4 linked regions of the Schizosaccharomyces pombe genome follow. The gene in region 1 interacts genetically with each later gene. Each region holds a gene or a part of one and is shown on either strand. Other genes may lie near its edges. The genes, in order: tif452, sfp1, irc3 and mgr2.

The links.
Region 2: mutations in tif452 (region 1) and sfp1 together harm fitness more than expected from each alone (negative genetic interaction), as found in Schizosaccharomyces pombe (one large-scale study listed by BioGRID).
Region 3: mutations in tif452 (region 1) and irc3 together harm fitness more than expected from each alone (negative genetic interaction), as found in Schizosaccharomyces pombe (one large-scale study listed by BioGRID).
Region 4: mutations in tif452 (region 1) and mgr2 together harm fitness less than expected from each alone (positive genetic interaction), as found in Schizosaccharomyces pombe (one large-scale study listed by BioGRID).

What each region holds. Positions count from the first base shown.
Region 1 is NC_003423.3:1,132,410-1,136,183, forward strand, and holds tif452 (translation initiation factor eIF4E, 4F complex E subunit isoform 2, stress response factor), read left to right. Parts: upstream 1-1,984; 5' UTR 1,985-2,089; coding exon 2,090-2,566; exon of another isoform or gene 2,567-2,656; coding exon 2,657-2,796; exon of another isoform or gene 2,797-2,853; coding exon 2,854-2,968; 3' UTR 2,969-3,210; downstream 3,211-3,774. Other genes in the region: met7 (putative folylpolyglutamate synthase), read left to right, coding at 1-22, 332-1,633. UniProt on the Schizosaccharomyces pombe protein: Recognizes and binds the 7-methylguanosine-containing mRNA cap during an early step in the initiation of protein synthesis and facilitates ribosome binding by inducing the unwinding of the mRNAs secondary structures.
Region 2 is NC_003424.3:4,431,322-4,436,439, reverse strand, and holds sfp1 (transcription factor Sfp1), read left to right. Parts: upstream 1-1,926; 5' UTR 1,927-2,807; coding exon 2,808-4,136; 3' UTR 4,137-4,571; downstream 4,572-5,118. Other genes in the region: SPOM_SPAC9E9.02 (uncharacterized protein), read left to right, coding at 527-823; SPOM_SPAC9E9.01 (uncharacterized protein), read right to left, coding at 1,239-1,501, 1,543-1,579; tRNA dihydrouridine synthase Dus3, read right to left, coding at 4,855-5,118.
Region 3 is NC_003423.3:3,366,615-3,371,234, reverse strand, and holds irc3 (ATP-dependent DNA helicase Irc3), read left to right. Parts: upstream 1-2,008; 5' UTR 2,009-2,014; coding exon 2,015-2,194; exon of another isoform or gene 2,195-2,238; coding exon 2,239-2,370; exon of another isoform or gene 2,371-2,427; coding exon 2,428-2,720; exon of another isoform or gene 2,721-2,759; coding exon 2,760-2,789; exon of another isoform or gene 2,790-2,837; coding exon 2,838-2,989; exon of another isoform or gene 2,990-3,030; coding exon 3,031-4,064; downstream 4,065-4,620. Other genes in the region: RNA polymerase I transcription factor subunit Rrn6, read left to right, coding at 1-1,657; pus4 (tRNA pseudouridine synthase), read right to left, coding at 4,219-4,620.
Region 4 is NC_003423.3:1,569,640-1,572,690, reverse strand, and holds mgr2 (protein Mgr2), read left to right. Parts: upstream 1-1,771; 5' UTR 1,772-1,838; coding exon 1,839-1,872; exon of another isoform or gene 1,873-1,915; coding exon 1,916-2,244; 3' UTR 2,245-2,487; downstream 2,488-3,051. Other genes in the region: sua1 (sulfate adenylyltransferase), read left to right, coding at 1-1,206; SPOM_SPBC27.05 (uncharacterized protein), read right to left, coding at 2,619-2,945. UniProt on the Schizosaccharomyces pombe protein: Required for cell viability in cells lacking mitochondrial DNA.

The sequences.
Region 1 (3,774 bases):
GCTTAGATGCATTGGATATCAGGTAAGTTACTACTTATAATTAGGAATTACAAAAGAATAGCACTCAAATATTTTAAGCCGCTGCATATGATTAAACGAGATTGAAACAAGTATTTGTATGTCCTTTATAGTACTCGATTGTGATCCTTTCTTTAACTTCACCTTATTTTTAATAATAATAATCTCATTGAAAGGACAGCACATCATGTCTATAAAGGGAAATATCAATAGGAATTGTTGACTTGGCTGGTTTAGCCTGTATCTCTTTACGAAATCTTTTTGTTAATAGTTCTATACTGTCATGCAACTTTTACTAACTAATAAATCTCAGCCATCAGATTTGAACCGACTAAATGTCATCCATGTTGCTGGAACTAAAGGAAAGGGTTCTACATGTGCATTTACATCCTCAATATTACAGCAAATACAGAAGAGTGGAGAAAGGTCGATTCCAAAATGCATTGGTATGTACACTTCTCCTCACCTCCGATCTGTCTGTGAACGTATTCAATTAAATGGCAAACCTATCAGTCAAGAGTTGTTTACTAAATATTTTTTTGATGTATGGGAGCGCCTAGAGAATGCTGTCGGTAGTGATTCGGAAAAGCCAATGTATTTCCGATTCTTGACACTAATGGCATGGCACGTTTTCATTTCAGAGAATGTCGATGCCGCTATCATTGAAGTTGGGATTGGTGGTGAATACGATTCTACAAACTTAATTGAAAAACCATATGCCACAGCAGTTACAAGCTTAGGTCTTGACCACACGTCTTTGTTGGGGAACACAATAGCAGAAATTGCTTGGCAGAAAGCTGGAATCTACAAAGAATCAGCTATTGCCTTAACTTGCGAGCAAGCTCCCGAGGCTATGAATGTTTTAAAAAACCGTGCTGCTGAACGAAATACATCACTTAAGGTAGTCATACCTCCTGCTGAATTAACGCCGGATATGATTGGTCTTTCAGGAGTTCATCAGCTTGGAAATACATCCCTTGCAGTTTCTTTAGTCCAAGAATTCTATGAAAAGGCCGGGTGCCCTTTTGATAGAGATCCATATCAGGATCCAGCAATTTTGGACGGCCTCAAGTATGTAAAATGGCCTGGAAGATGCCAAATTGAGGAAATCAACAACATAAAATGGTGTTTTGATGGAGCCCACACCAAGGAAAGTTTGGAGGCCACTGGACTTTGGCTCGCATCCAAGAAGAATCTTTATGAGGATGCAGATGCCCGTATTCTTCTGTTTAACCAGCAAAGCAGGGATGATCCAATTGCTTTACTTAGGTCCTTCTTAAAAGGATTGGAAAGCTCGGGAACTGGGATTTCGTTTACGCATGTTATATTCTCAACCAATGTCACCTGGAAGGATGCAGGCTATAATCCAGAGCTGTTAAGCATTAATACCATTACTGATAATAAGCCCGTTTTGCATGTACAAGAGGATTTATGTAAATGGTGGAAAGAATCGAAGGGCACGACTAGTGAAGCAACAGTAGCCCCTACCATCCAAGAAGCTATTGAGACAGTGATGTCAATTAAGCAAAAATCCAGGAATACTTTTGTTTGTGTCACCGGAAGTCTGCATTTAACTGGTGGTGTTTTTGTAGTACTAGATCAAGCTGTTTTTTGATTGAAATGGAGAAAGGTTCTACATTTTGCAACATTGTTTTTGAGATTTAAATGATTCTTAGATATACAACATAGCTTTATGCATCTTTGTAATTACAAAATGATTTTTAACAATTTGACACGTAAGGGGAACAAATTTGATTTCACGAATTATAATAGTATGCAGATAAAAAGCTGTGTGAAATTTGATTATACTCGTGCATTTCCAATCAAACAAATAATTTACTGTAAAGCTTTAAGGCTGATTATTGACTTTTTATATATACTTAGCCAATATTTAAGGTATGAATGTACAATTATATTTTACAGGAACAGTGTGTTGAAAGTTGCTTTTGCTTGGATCTCGTAACCCAATTACGACCACCGCATCTTTTCAGCATCCAGCCTAGTTTACAAACTGCCTATTATAAAAACGTTTTAAGCTCTTTTAATATTTTTGTTTTTTTAAAAAAAGCAAATGGCAGATGCAGAAGACTCGCGTCACTCAAAAAATGAGGGTTTTCCCAACACTTCCTTAATCACAGAAAAACTAGATCTATTGGATTTATTTGGGTCACCAAAAGTTAAAACTGAAAGAGAGGGACGTCCAGCGCGCCTTCTTGAAGGTCTATCGGCTGTTAATGCTGAAACTGCATTTGTAAAAACACACCCCCTTCAGCATGAATGGACATTGTGGTTTTTGAAACCACCTACACAAGGTCTTGAATGGAGTGATCTTCTTAAAGAGATTATTTCCTTCAAGACAGTGGAAGAGTTTTGGGGCATCTTTAAGACGATCTCAAAAGCTTCGATGCTTCCCGCCAAATCGGACTACTCTTACTTTTTGAAAGGTATTCGTCCTGAATGGGAGGATCCTCAAAACATGAATGGTGGGAAATGGGCCTACCAAAGCAAGCACAAAGGTTCAAATCTCGACGAGTTGTGGCTGTATATGGTAAGTCATGGTCTGTTCATTTTAACTGCTGTGATATCGACTTTACAGAATGTTAATTTTTAAGTTGAAAGTATTAACGTATGGAAATAGGTGCTGGCAGCCATTGGAGAAACATTAGACCCTACTGGGAAAGAAGTTACTGGTGTAGTTTGCAATATGAGGAAAGGATTCTATAGAATCGCTGTATGGACACGAAATTGTAATGACAAAGATGTTTTGGAAAAAATCGGGTATGTGAAGTTTTAAGAGTAACGTGTTGGTAGTTGACTGGACTAACAAACATGTAGCCTGCGCTTTAAAGAAGTTTTAGGGATTTCTGATAAAGAGACTATAGAATATAGTGCTCATGAGGATTCATCAAAGGCTGGTAGTATGCGAGCAAAAACCCGTATGAGTCTTTAATGATATCAAGTTTCAAGTTTTTATTTTTACTTTCTAAGGCTTGGTAAATTATAGGGGTGTTCATTTACGAATGACAATATGTTATTGCAATCATTGCCCTCTTGTTTTTGAGACCTCTAAAATACCAAGCTTATTGAGATGAGATAGATGCCTCTTTACAGTTAGTGTATTCGTATGAATAGTTTAATTTGTTATATTTGTTGAGCATTTTAATAGGCTAATGGATATAATCTATATTTGACCCTTCTCTTACGTTATAAATATTAAAATTCTATCAAGAATGTAAATATGCTAGATCGCCAAATCTTCCTATTATTCATAACCGCCTGTATATTAAACATTTATCGCTAGCTTATTTCAAGCTGAATAATGTCTACTATGATTTTACTATTTCCGAGGATCTAATGTAATGTTGGAACTAACCTTTATCGCTAAGGATCCATGAATGTTTGAATCAAACTAAAATTTCGAAATAATAGGCGACCTTCATTTCTTCTTATCATTGTCGAAATCGGATAACATTAATTAAGAAGATAGCCCTTTTAATCGAATTAATGCAGCGCTTAATGAGTACTGGGAAAAGTGGGGAAATTTACTTGCAACTTCTGTATGCTTAGAATTAGATATCTGGTGAAGAAGTATCTACAATCAGACTTTTCAATGTACTGTACGGAATATTGTCGAGTATCAGTGCACCACTTCAATTCCAAATCTATCGCTTCGCTTATACTCAAAGTTTTTTAAACAAATAAAGCTCAGCACTAACTTCATCATTTGGTTAATCAGCAATTAGCAAAGATGAAATG
Region 2 (5,118 bases), on another chromosome or scaffold:
ACAATGTCGTTTTGATGTTGTTGACCCATACTCTCTTGACACTTGTTTACTAATGTCATTTTTTCATTTTTTTCTCATAGACGATAGATTACTCCTTGGGATGTATGAATTTCTTTATCGTTTTCTTCAATTATTAATCCTATCAAATTGTCTGTAGTTTTTCATTCATGAACCAAGTCAGAATCACTTTTATCTTGGTCCTTGTTCATATCCCTTCGCTTGCCATAGCGCCAGCGCCCTTGACATCATGGTAGAGTGTGTTTGATATAGAAGCATCATAAACTATCCAATGGCCAGAACCCTAGAAGATTGCTGAGAAATGTAATTAAAACGTTGTAAATTCATTGCCTTTGGTATTGAGTGTGATGCCTGCGAATTTCATCTTTTCAACTACTGACCTAAGTGTGGTGGATATGTGGACAAATGATGGGATTGTTAAATAATGAAAATGATGCTTAAGAGTTTCTGGAAGAAAACGAAGAATTGATAGATTGGACATTTGACGTTGACTTTCCATTTCTATATAATGGATGTGGATTTCGCTAATGCCAAACACAAACTGCATTGTTTATTAAAAAAAAATTTCCTCTTAACGATTCGATTCAGTTCATTGGTTTCAATACAATACATCCCATTCTCCAATCGTTTGTATGAAATCATCAGTATTGCTCTAAATCCTTGCAATTTTTCTAAAAGTCTTTTTTGGTTACGAAAAAAAATAAAAAACTCCGTTCTGTTAAAAACTTCCTTTGATTCTAACGAAACAATTTTTTTTTTATATTCTCTTCATCGTTGTGTGTATTATCTTTTCATTTATCTGTGATAATACCGATTCTTTATTTATTTATTTACTTAGTTATATACTTGTTATTCCATTCTGTTCCTTTGTTAGTTACTGATCTTCACCTTACTTTCAATCATTTTCTTTTGGGTTGTTGTAAGGTTTATATATTTGGTTTATCTTGTACGATAGTTTGTTTTTTTCTTCATTCGCAAGCTATTCTATCTAGATATTTTTTTAGCTCCATTTCCTATAAGCTTTAGTTTTTCTTTTCCCTTTTCCCGTCTAATTTTTTCTTGTAAAATCGCTAGACGTCCATTTTCATTTTCTTGTTTGCTTGTCTTTTTACATCTCTTCCAAAAATATCCGTCTTCTCTTTACTAGCACAAAGAAGAGAAATATCCTTCCTCCATTTCAATTAAACGACGATATTTCTTTCATTTCATAGTCGTTTACTTTACCAATTAACCCTTGAAAGGACATTGTATCTCGCAAATTCCTTGAGTTTGCTTTCCCGGTAAATTTGGTATAACCGACAACGATCTTCATTGTCTGCCTCCATCCATTCCCCATTAGCTGCTTCACAACGTGACCAGACTGCGAACCCTGCCTCAAGTTTGATTACCGAACCAACATTTGAATCGCTAAACGTTTTTAGCCGCTTCGATTTTCCGAGAAACACATAAACAAAGATTGTGTGTGTTACTGTACCCGTGTGCACTTGACCGTATATTAGGACACTATAACGCTAAGCTGCGTACCGCTTAATTCTGCACTGAGCTCCAAGCCATCCGCCATCGTTCATTTGCGACCCTTTGTCTAGAAACTATTCGCCCCTTGTCTTCGGCCCCATCTATTGGAAGTAACGACCTTCCGATACGGCACTGACGAAGTTGCATTGTTACCCCTAATTACTTTGATCCAAGTTCGATCCACTCTGTGTACTCTGATTGGCTTTCTTATATTTAAGGGCCCCTCATTAGGTGTTTAAGTCTGAAAGCTTCACTGTTATTCGCTCGCATAGTCGGCGTCACTGTTACTTGACCCTTTTATCCTTGTTACCTTTATACATACGTAACGAGAAGGCTTGCTAAATCACCTTATCAATTACTACTTAAACACCGTCCTACCCTTCTTAACGCCTTATTCTGACTAACTTCAACGTGAGGACGACACGAAGGAAGCAGAAGCAAATATACTTACTTAACTTAAGGGAGTTAGTACAATCATAGAATTGTTGTTGAATACCATATATTCAACTTAAAAAAAATTAAACATATTTATAAAAAAAATTCGCTTGCAACATATATTGCGTCCACTAGTTGCCTGCAAAAAAAAGATTACTCTTTTGAAGTATCACCACTCTTTTCGATTGATCTCGATTGTTCATTGAATCAAAGCGTAAATTATTTACTATTTCGCTTTATTTTAAAAAAAAGTCGAATCGAACAGTTTCCTCGACTCGATTCGTTATTACTTGACTTTCTTTGTTGATTAAAAAGGATTCTTTAAAAGGTTTTTACTCCCTTTCTTTTCATCTTATTTATATTATACATTTATCATCCGTTAATCGCCAATTTGTTTAGACTGAAAAAATTAGATAAGTCACTTTGGGGTTTCCACTTAAAACATTACAATACACTAATTACACTTGGGTAATTTAGTGCTTAAAAATAGTTTACCTTCATTTTTTTGCTTGGTAAATTCTTCTTTTAGAAACTTTTTCCTTTTTTTTTCGAATTTATAGTTCGTCGAATTTCATTAGATTTTACATTCAGTCTTTTTTTAATTGCCTTTTTTTACCCCTCTCAGCGCTCTCTAAGAACTTGCCTTCCTTAAGTCGAGTTTTCTAAGTGCATTATTCCCTGATTTCTCAAAAAATAACTTACTAAATTATTTTGTTATTTTTATTCTATTTTTTCATCATTGGTATATAATTTTTAATTTGGTTTCTATTTATCGGTTTATCTTTTAATTTTCTCTTTTATCTCTTTAATTTTATTAATTCCCTTAAAAACTTTTCAATATGCCATCTCTCGCATTGCCTATCAATAAGCCTTCCCATCACAATGTCAACTACAACGGAAATTCCTTTAACAGCATTCATGCTACCTCTTTTGGAATGAGTCCACAGTCTTGGGGAAATAGCTTTAGTGGACAAGCTTGGCTTCGTGATACTATTCCATCTCTTTCTAACGTGGTTGAGTCACAAACGATTCCCGAAGAGGATTCTACCTCTTATCTAAACCGGTTAGAAGAAGCATTTTGCCGTGATTTCCGCTGCTGTGGTCAAACTCTCGAAGATTTGCATCAACTTATTCACCATTATGAAGAGCAGCACGCCGTTCTGGCAACTGATTCTGCTGTTCCTCAAGAATATTCTTTGGATAGCAACAACGCTGCTCAATCTAATCATTCTCATATTCAAGCGCTCAAACAGCGTGAGCGCATCCGTATGCATGATCTTGCTGATCAGCTTGGAACTTCTGAAATTTCTGATAATTCTGCTGTTTTACCATTTGCCTTTCCTGCTAACGGTGGTGCTCCTGGCCCTTACCGCGTTTCCGTTGTCGTACCTGCCGCTGCTGCTGCTGCTGCTGCCGCTGCCAGCTCCGACATGAGCAGTGACGAGGCCAGTAGTCAAGCAGAGACAACTGGTACCCCGAAAAAGATGCCTGAATCATTGGTAATGGATGCAAGCTCCCCTCTCAGTGACATGAGCATGTCTATTGACGTTGGTGAGTCCGCTGCCAATAATGTTTTTGCGTTCAATCAAAAGGACATGGTTGACTCTACATATCTTCCCCCATTCAATTACGATCACGATGTTTTTTCATTTGCTCCATCTGTCGCATCCGCCGATCAATTCACAGAGTCTAGCATGTCTCCTACTCCTGAAGTAGTTTCACCCGCAGCCACAAACTCAGCAATCTCATCCCCATTTGTTAGGAAATCTTCTAGTGATTTGGAAGCTAAGCCATCTAAAAAGCAGCGTTCTACTCCTGCATTCTCACACGATTCACCGCTCACTATTGATTACCCAGGCTCTAACTTGGTGGTTGTAGACAAGCCATACAAATGCCCTGTCCCTAATTGTGATAAGGCTTATAAGAATCAAAATGGTTTGAAGTATCACAAACTTCATGGACACTGTTCCCCCATTACTACTCCAACACCAGCTCCAATTCCTCATCAAGGGTTTGTTGTGGAAAACAAGCCTTATCGCTGTGAAGTTTGTAGTAAAAGATATAAAAACTTAAACGGTTTGAAATATCATCGTACACATAGTCATCTACAAGTGTCTATGGCCCAAGCTCAACGGGAAGTTCAAATGAACTTTATGCGCACCGCATAAATATGCTCTTTTTTGCCTTTGTAATATTTGAACATGAGATTTGTATCTCAGTTTCGTATCTTCAAGTTTGAATACTTTTATGTCTATCTTTGCTTTTAAGTTTGAGAAGGGTAGACATGTTGTGTGGAGTTTGCTTGATGTTTACGGGCTTGCATTTATCTGCATACAACAATCGAATTAGCTGTAAAGTGAACCTGTCTCCTTTGATTCATTCCCGTTAATTTTGCACTTACTTTATTACCTACATGATGGCTGTGTTTGTTTTGTTTGCTTTTTTTTTGTTTTTTAATTTTTTGTTTTGTCATTTTGGGATTCTGGATTTTTAATGGTTTTTATTGTGTATTAAGTTATTTTTGTACCAAATATCCTCTTGCTGTTATTATTATACCTTTTAAGTTAATAAATATGTATGGCAGTGTTATTTACCATATATTTGCTAAGTTATTTCACAACGTAGTTTCGATAGTAATTGTAGAGTACTGTAAGATCGTTGGTTAGTTCCCATTGGGTAAGTTGACTATATAACGTTAGATTCATTACCAATTTGCCTAGTCATTTGCGCATTTTACGAGACAAACACAGATCACTCGTATATAAGTCACCAGATATTTTATTAATCTACTTAATTCAATCCAGATGATAAGCCAGTATTAAGTATGAAAAGTTGATGATGCATATGAAGAAAGTGAATGCTCGATACACTAAGACCATAAGTTGTTTATCCCTCTGCCTCTTCCACACTATTGCTTTTGTGCTTTGGTGTAAAGGTGAATCGCTCAGGAGTAGGACCTAGGAAGAACTCACTCAATTTAACCCAGTCCGTAACTTTATTACTGGCCAAGAGAGTTTCCATCTCATCTCTCGCGGTATATAGAGGCGGTCTATCATTTAATCTGGGCCTTTGAACTTCGTACAAAGCTATAGGTGTATAACGATGGAAAAAGCTCATAAACTCCAAGAAAAATCTCCTAGTCGTATTGAC
Region 3 (4,620 bases), 2.2 Mb from region 1:
CAAAGAGTCTTTGCAACAAGCATTATGTTCTGCACCAACAAGTTCCATTGCTTATCACGAAGAAGAAATAAATCCCGATAATACAATATATAGAGCTAAATGGGAAGAGTATTTTGGCGGTGTCATTTTGCATAATGCTTTTTTTATTCTTCATGTGTCTCTTGGGGAGGTACCTGATTTCCATCTTTTATTCCACTGCAGTTCAGATGTTAGGATTCTACAAGTGGTAAATGAATCTATGCCTATTAAATCTGAGTTTTTCATTTTAACTACCGAGTCCGTCTTGTGGATGGATATTCAACATCCTCAGAAGCCGCTACTTGAATGGAAACATAATAGAAAATTAGATCCTACTTTGAAAATTACGGTTACCGCTACTTTTTCTCAAAACATCTATGTCTCTGTTTATTCTCAAATGAATGGTGTTGTCCAACAAATTCATTTTTCAAAAGACAGAGCTCTACCTGTATCAGGTAGTCATCCATTTCTATTATTAAATGAGGTTCAGGTTCCCATAAGATCCCTCATTATACAACCTTGTTATTTTTTTGAGTCATCTGAATTTGACAGACAAGGTCCTTTTGATTCACCTTTTTGGTCTGCAATAATTGATAAGGCTGACGGATCTCTTTCCTTACATATTCTTTGCGAAAAAAGTTCTCTTAAAATATATAATTTAGAGGAGCTTACTGGTTCTAGCCAAGTTGCTATGAAATTTAAAACTATCACCCCTTCTGTAAACACTAGTGAAGATGATTCGGCAAATGATCAAGAAATAATAAGCACTCCGAATTCCGATTTTCAACAATTATCACTGTCACGGTTATACCATGTTTTGTGCTCTAATAGGAACAAAAAGAATACTATCACCCTTGATGAATTCGCTAGCAAAGTTCCGGATTTTGTAGAAGCTTTTGATTCTATCAATCACGATGTTATAATAACTTTGAGTGAGTTATATGACGGATTTCCTTTGAAAGGAACCTTTACTAATGTAGCTGAGATCATAAGTCATTTAGAAGGTACAGAACTATCATTTTATTTTCCTTATATGTTTGGTATTAACTACAACAATGCTTCTTTCTTTTATACTTCCGTGGACTCAATTGCTAGTTTAATACACAGGCGCTGGGAATCTAATACTGATAAGTCTGTCGAAATTCCTTGCTTTCAGTCTTCTCAAAGAAGATCTATAAAAAATGTTATTCACTATTTATTTCTTTCTTCTATAGGAGTCTCCAGGGAAAAAATATTTGATCCATCATTGTCTCGAAAGGAAATCGATTCAACCGACTTGCTTACATTTATCAAACCTTTTTATGATACGGAAGGCCTGGAGCTGAATGAAGATGTTAGAAATATTTTGGAGAATTGGGAGATTGGAAAGATATCTTCAACTTATGTCATTGGTGATAGCGCTGTCGAAACGGAGGATCCATCATCTAGCCAATTTAGTGATTTCTACATTTCACAACAGCAGTCTTCTGTACTTCCCTCAAGCCAAATTGCGACAGTCTTTTCTCAAGAAGATGTTCCTAATTTTTCATCGCTATACTCGGAGAGTTCTAGCCAAACTATCCCAATAATGTCACAAGTCGTTAGTGGCAAATATGGTTCTCGTCCTTCCAAAAAGAAAAAGAAAAGAAGCGGATTTTAAATCCACCCGTATTTATTTATCTGTAAGTGATTTGTTTACAACTTGGGGAATAATTTGCTTGAGTTATTGATACTATACCAATGCTTGGACATAAGGTTGGTAGTAAATTATTTGCATATATTATGAAATTGCTAAAATTTAAAATTTTTTTTTCTATAATGTTTATAGAACTTTCAAATTTTATATCTTAGTTAGCCTTTGTAAGTCAATAAAAGTAAGTAATAATTAATTGTCTGCATGTCATGCTAATTTATGCTCTGACAAATTATTTTAACTAAGCCATTTTATGCCCTTATCCATTGCTGTATTCTATAGTTATAAAATTATTTTTGTGTCAGAGATTATCTTGCCGTAGACATGCTACTAAACGCATGTTGCAAAAAGAATTTGTGGCCAAGAAATGGTTCAACTATATTTAGAAGATTTGCTCTTAAACTTCGTCCTTATCAAGAAGAATGCCTCAGTGCCTGCTTAAACGCTTTTGATGAAGGTAAACGTCGAATTGCTGTTTCATTAGCTACAGGCTCTGGTAAAACGGTATTACTGTTCTACTACTGACTGCAATATTAACACGTCTAAAGGCATTGTTTCCCCACTTTATAAAATATGCACCTACTTTAAGGCCAAACTCTGAGCAATGTCTAATTTTGGTTCACAGAAAGGAGTTAGCTTTACAGGCCCTCAAGCATTGCCGAGAAAGCCTTCCGAATAAGGTACCGTTCTTTTTCCAAATAGATTCCACGCTGTTTCGTTTACTAACTTTGCCATAGTCTATTGAGATTGATATGGGCAATCAGTGTGCATCCGGACTGGCTGATGTTACCGTTGCGTCAGTTTTTTCTTTAAAAAATGAAAGACTACTTAAATATAATCCTCTCAATTTTAAACTTTTAATTTTTGATGAAGTTCACCATATGGCGTCTCCTTCGTACTTACGAATCCTTGAGCATTTTGGCGCAGAATCGGAAAAATCGAAAGTGAATGTGATAGGACTTACTGCGACTCTTTTCAGAGCAGACGGAAAAGGGTTGGCTTGTGGCCTAGATGAGATTGTTTATCACAGGTAATGCTAACAGTAGAACGTTCAAATGCTAATAAATAGACATTTCGTGGACATGATCAAAGATAACTGGTAAGTGTGTCATATTTATAGGTACTCTTCCTAACTCCCAATGTTAAGGCTTGTTGAACCAAAAGTCATAAACATAAAGTGGTCTACAGATCTTGTGTTAGCTGATTCGTCTAGCTTCTTGGACCAAGAGAAGTTAAAAAAGGAGGCACAATCAGAAAAGGCAATATTCGAAATTCCAAGAGCTTGGCTCGAACATGCTAGTAAGCTGAATATAGTTATCTCTATATTAATTTCCTTTTAGGTAACCGCTCATCTACATTGGTGTTTTGCATAAATGTAGAGCATTCATTAAAAGTTTGTAATGCATTTCGAAAATTAGGTATTGATGCCCGAGCTTTGTTTGGGGAAACTAATGATTCGGAACGTGAAACTTTAATCCAAGATTTCCGAAAAAAGAAATTTCCTGTCCTTGTTAATTGCATGGTGTTGACTGAAGGGACCGATATTCCTAATATTGATTGTTTAATGATCGCTCGGCCTACAAGTTCTCCAAATTTACTTACACAGATGATTGGTAGGGGATTGCGATTGCATGAGGGAAAAAGAGATTGTCTAATATTAGATTTTTGTGATTCTTTAAGAAGAGTCAGTCTACATGTTGACCCTACTTTAGCTGGTCTTTCCCCCGATGAAGTTGAAAACTTTTATAATAAATCAAAGAATTCCCTTGCGAACCCTGATTATGATCCTAAAATTTATGGATTACAATCTGTTTTGTGGTACAGCAAATTACGGAAGTTGATAGAAATGATGGATAACATTAAAAACAAAGATAGGAGCATTTTCAATTTATCTACTAATGCTTGGGTTGCTGTCGGTATGGGTCGATATGTCTTGAGCTTTTTACAAAAGGTGTTGATAATTGATACAAATTTTGAAGATGGGACACATAAGATATCTGAATATACGAAAGAGAAATTAGGGACTCGAGTGTATAATCGAAAACGTATTGTATCCGATCGCATACCTTCCTTGAAATTCGCGATAAGGGCAGCGGAAACATACATTTCCAATTTGAAAACACCTCGTTCTCTTATTAGTCGTAAAGCAGTGTGGAGAATGAGACCCGCGTCTGTTAGACAAATAAACTTCTTGAAAAAATCAAATTTAAAACTAGATGAAAAACTCTTGACAGCAGGTGTTGCAGCTGATATGATTACTAAAGTAATTTATGGAGGAAAAGGTCGACAAGTTAGAACAGATAAGCTACAAAGTTATCTGAAACACGACGCAAATTTAAAGCGTATTACTACATTGAAGGAATTAAAGGGTTGATGGTTTCAGTGTTCTTCATAAAAATCGTTTTCTTCACTGTACCAGTGATAATATTTGCTTGGAGTGGAAAAGAAATGTCTATTATATGCTTTTAAAGAAAATATGAATGTCCTTATCTAAAAAGTATATTACTGGTATATATATTAAGACTGCTTCAGCTTGTTTCGTCTCCTTTCAGGTCGATTTTGAACGCTGCTGCGAGTTTTTCCTCCCAGCCTGGAGCTGAAAATTCTGAAAAATCAAAGCAGTTTTCATCGTCTAGTGCAAAAGACCCCTGTTTCAATCTCACAAGATCGACCATGTGTGCTTCACTATTTACTTGTCGGCCCAAATCATGAATTAAAGAGCGAACGTAGAAACCAGAAGAAACCGTCATATCAAGGACTGCAATTGGCCCTATTGCAGGTCGTGATCCTCGCGCTAAATCAGTGACTTCAAACTTTCGTTTTTTAGGGTTTGTGACAGTTTGATCTTTGGCTACATCTGTAACAGAATTGGTAGTGGGACTCTTCGCGTTTATTTTTTCATCACCATCTTGGGGATTGATGTCTTGCTC
Region 4 (3,051 bases), 440 kb from region 1:
TCTTTGAAGGCCGGTGATCGTGTTGCATTATTAGATCCTAGGGATGGGCAAACTGTTATTGCCATTTTGACTGTTGAGGACAAGTATACCCCAGATAAGGCGAACGAAGCTGAAAAGGTATTTGGTGCTAATGATCGCGCCCACCCTGCCGTCGACTACTTGTTTGGTCGTGCTGGAAATGTGTATGTTGGTGGTAAACTTCAAGCCGTTACTCCTATTCGCCATTTCGATTTCGTAGAGTACCGCTACTCACCTGCTCAACTTCGCTCTGACTTCCAGCGTAACAACTGGAATCGCGTCGTTGCTTTCCAAACCCGTAATCCCATGCATCGCGCCCATCGTGAGCTTACCGTCCGTGCTGCTAAGCAACACGGTGCCCGTGTGCTCATTCACCCTGTCGTCGGTATGACCAAGCCTGGTGATATCGATCACTTCACCCGTGTGCGTGTTTACGAGGCTATTCTCCAACGCTATCCTAAGGGTTCCGCCAAGCTCTCTCTTCTTCCCTTAGCCATGCGTATGGCTGGTCCTCGTGAAGCTTTATGGCACGCCATCATTCGTAAGAACTACGGTGCTTCTCATTTCATCATTGGTCGTGATCATGCTGGTCCTGGTAAGAACAGTCAAGGCGAGGATTTTTATGGTCCTTACGATGCTCAGTACCTTGTTGAACAATACGCTCAGGAAATCGGTATCACCATTGTTCCTTTCCAAATGATGACTTACCTTCCTGATGAGGACATCTACAAGCCAGTTGACAAAGTCGAACCCGGTACCCGTACTTTGAACATCAGTGGTACTGAACTTCGTCGCCGTCTTCGCGTCGGTGCCAACATCCCTGAGTGGTTCTCTTATCCAGAGGTTGTCGCTATTTTACGTCAATCCTATCCTCCCAAATACTCTCAAGGATTTGTTTTGGCTGTTCCTGCCACCTCCGATAAACTTCTCCCCAGCGCTCTAGTTTCAGCCTTGAACGAGGATGGTCGCCGCCATGTCACTCTTTTACCTCGCTTAGATGCTATTTCAGTGTTTTACGCCCAAGAATTGCAACGTGCTGGTGCTGCCGTTGTTGTTTCTCTGGCTGATGCTGATGCATCTGTTAAAGTACCTGCTGAGTGGACTACCGTAAACATCAAGCCCAAAGACTCTGTTTCTGAGGTTACTTTTGCTGTCCTTTCACAATTGTCTGACGAAGGCTATCTTTAAAATAATGTTTTTTGACATATATATATATATATATATATACATATATCCATTTTTGTTCTTTTATGTTCTACTTGTCTATTAAATAATAAAATAATTGCTGCAGGAATGACAACACTCCCTCATTAGAACTTTGCCATTTGTAGATGTAACTAAGAATGCAACTCAATTAAATTTCGCTAAGGACATGTTAGTAATTAATTAGCGATAGGCTTCTTAATAACAAAAGGTAGGAAATTCAATCCGAAGCCGAGGGGAATTAATTTATTATATATGTCAGATATACATAGCAGACTTTAGCAATTGCAATACATGCCAATGCAATGTTTTATTTTAATTCAGAAGTCATTATAACGTTAAGCCTATGCTCTCACTTAACGCATGCCTGGATGTAATACATTGTTACATTTACTTAAAAAAACTGGGCTTATAAAAAATATATATATAGGTTTTCTTTAAATTAACATTTCCTAAACTAAACTATTGATTTAACAAAAGAAATTGTTACATCTATTGTTATACCTAGGTATCCAATATAATAACTGTATACTACCTTACTTTTCCTACCAACAAAATCCCCCTTGAAACTAGTGCTCTCTATTTCTAAATAAAAGTAAGACCTTTAACTACTCAAAATGCAATCTATGCAACCTTCAACTGTGGATAAGCGTAAGTTCTATATTGTATGAATTCAGTCATTAACACTGAACAGTAAAAATGGGCGCCATTATGGGTTCAGCTGCTGGACTTGGCATCGGGTTTTTATTTGGAGGAGTAGCAGTTTTGCGCTATGGGCCTGGTCCACGTGGATTCTTAAGGACCTTAGGTCAATACATGTTAACATCTGCGGCCACTTTTGGCTTTTTCATGTCCATCGGCTCTGTAATTCGCAACGAAGATATACCACTAATACAGCAGTCAGGCTCACATTGGAATCAAAGATTATTAAATGAAAATGCAAATTCCAGTCGTATTTTTGCCTTGGCTATGCAACAGGCCAAAAGTTCTCCACGTAAATCAAATGAAGTTGCTGAGTGCTAATTTCGTTTAATCCGATTATAATAAAAGTATCATACTATCATTTTGTTAGTATATGAGGTACAATATTTGTTTCTCCTGAATTCTGAGTTAAAGATGTACTGATGATTGTACTATCATGCATTTAAACTAAAAAGCTTTGGCCGCTACATCAAAGGACTTTTGCATTTTTCTGATAGTTCATGTTTAAAAAAGTCTTTATACCATATTGTTAATATTTTGATGGCGATTTAATTTTCCTTAAAATTTTTACGATTTAAAGATTTGGGTAATTTGCTAGGTGGTAAATTGGTAAATTAGTTTGTTTCGATGAATAATATTTGTAGCAATAGTTACAAAAAATGATCGAAGACAAGCTATTACAAATAAGCTAATTATTATTTGATCATAAAGATATTTAGAAACAATACTTGTGCCTTAAAACTTGCAATATCAATAATGCTTGTCATAAGGAAGATTCGGTTACATATGGGTTGAAGATACATATGCTCATTAGTATTATTAAATGTATTATATATGCTTGATGTTATCACTTCTTTAGATGCTAATTGTAATGTAAATGCGTCTGTTGTCTCTTTTTGTACACGCATTATTAGTTGGTATCTTATATAAAACTTCGATTCAATCTCCAACTGGTAAAGCAAAATGCAATTAATGCCAGAATAAAATAAATATGCAAGTCCATAAACCGTTGTATGCACCATTCATAAGCAGAATTTACTGCGTTCATAAAGTTGCGAAAGCATAGTCTTCAAAATCTTTCGTTTGCTTCTTAGCCAAAATTCAAAAAAAAACTTGAAAGCACCTGCA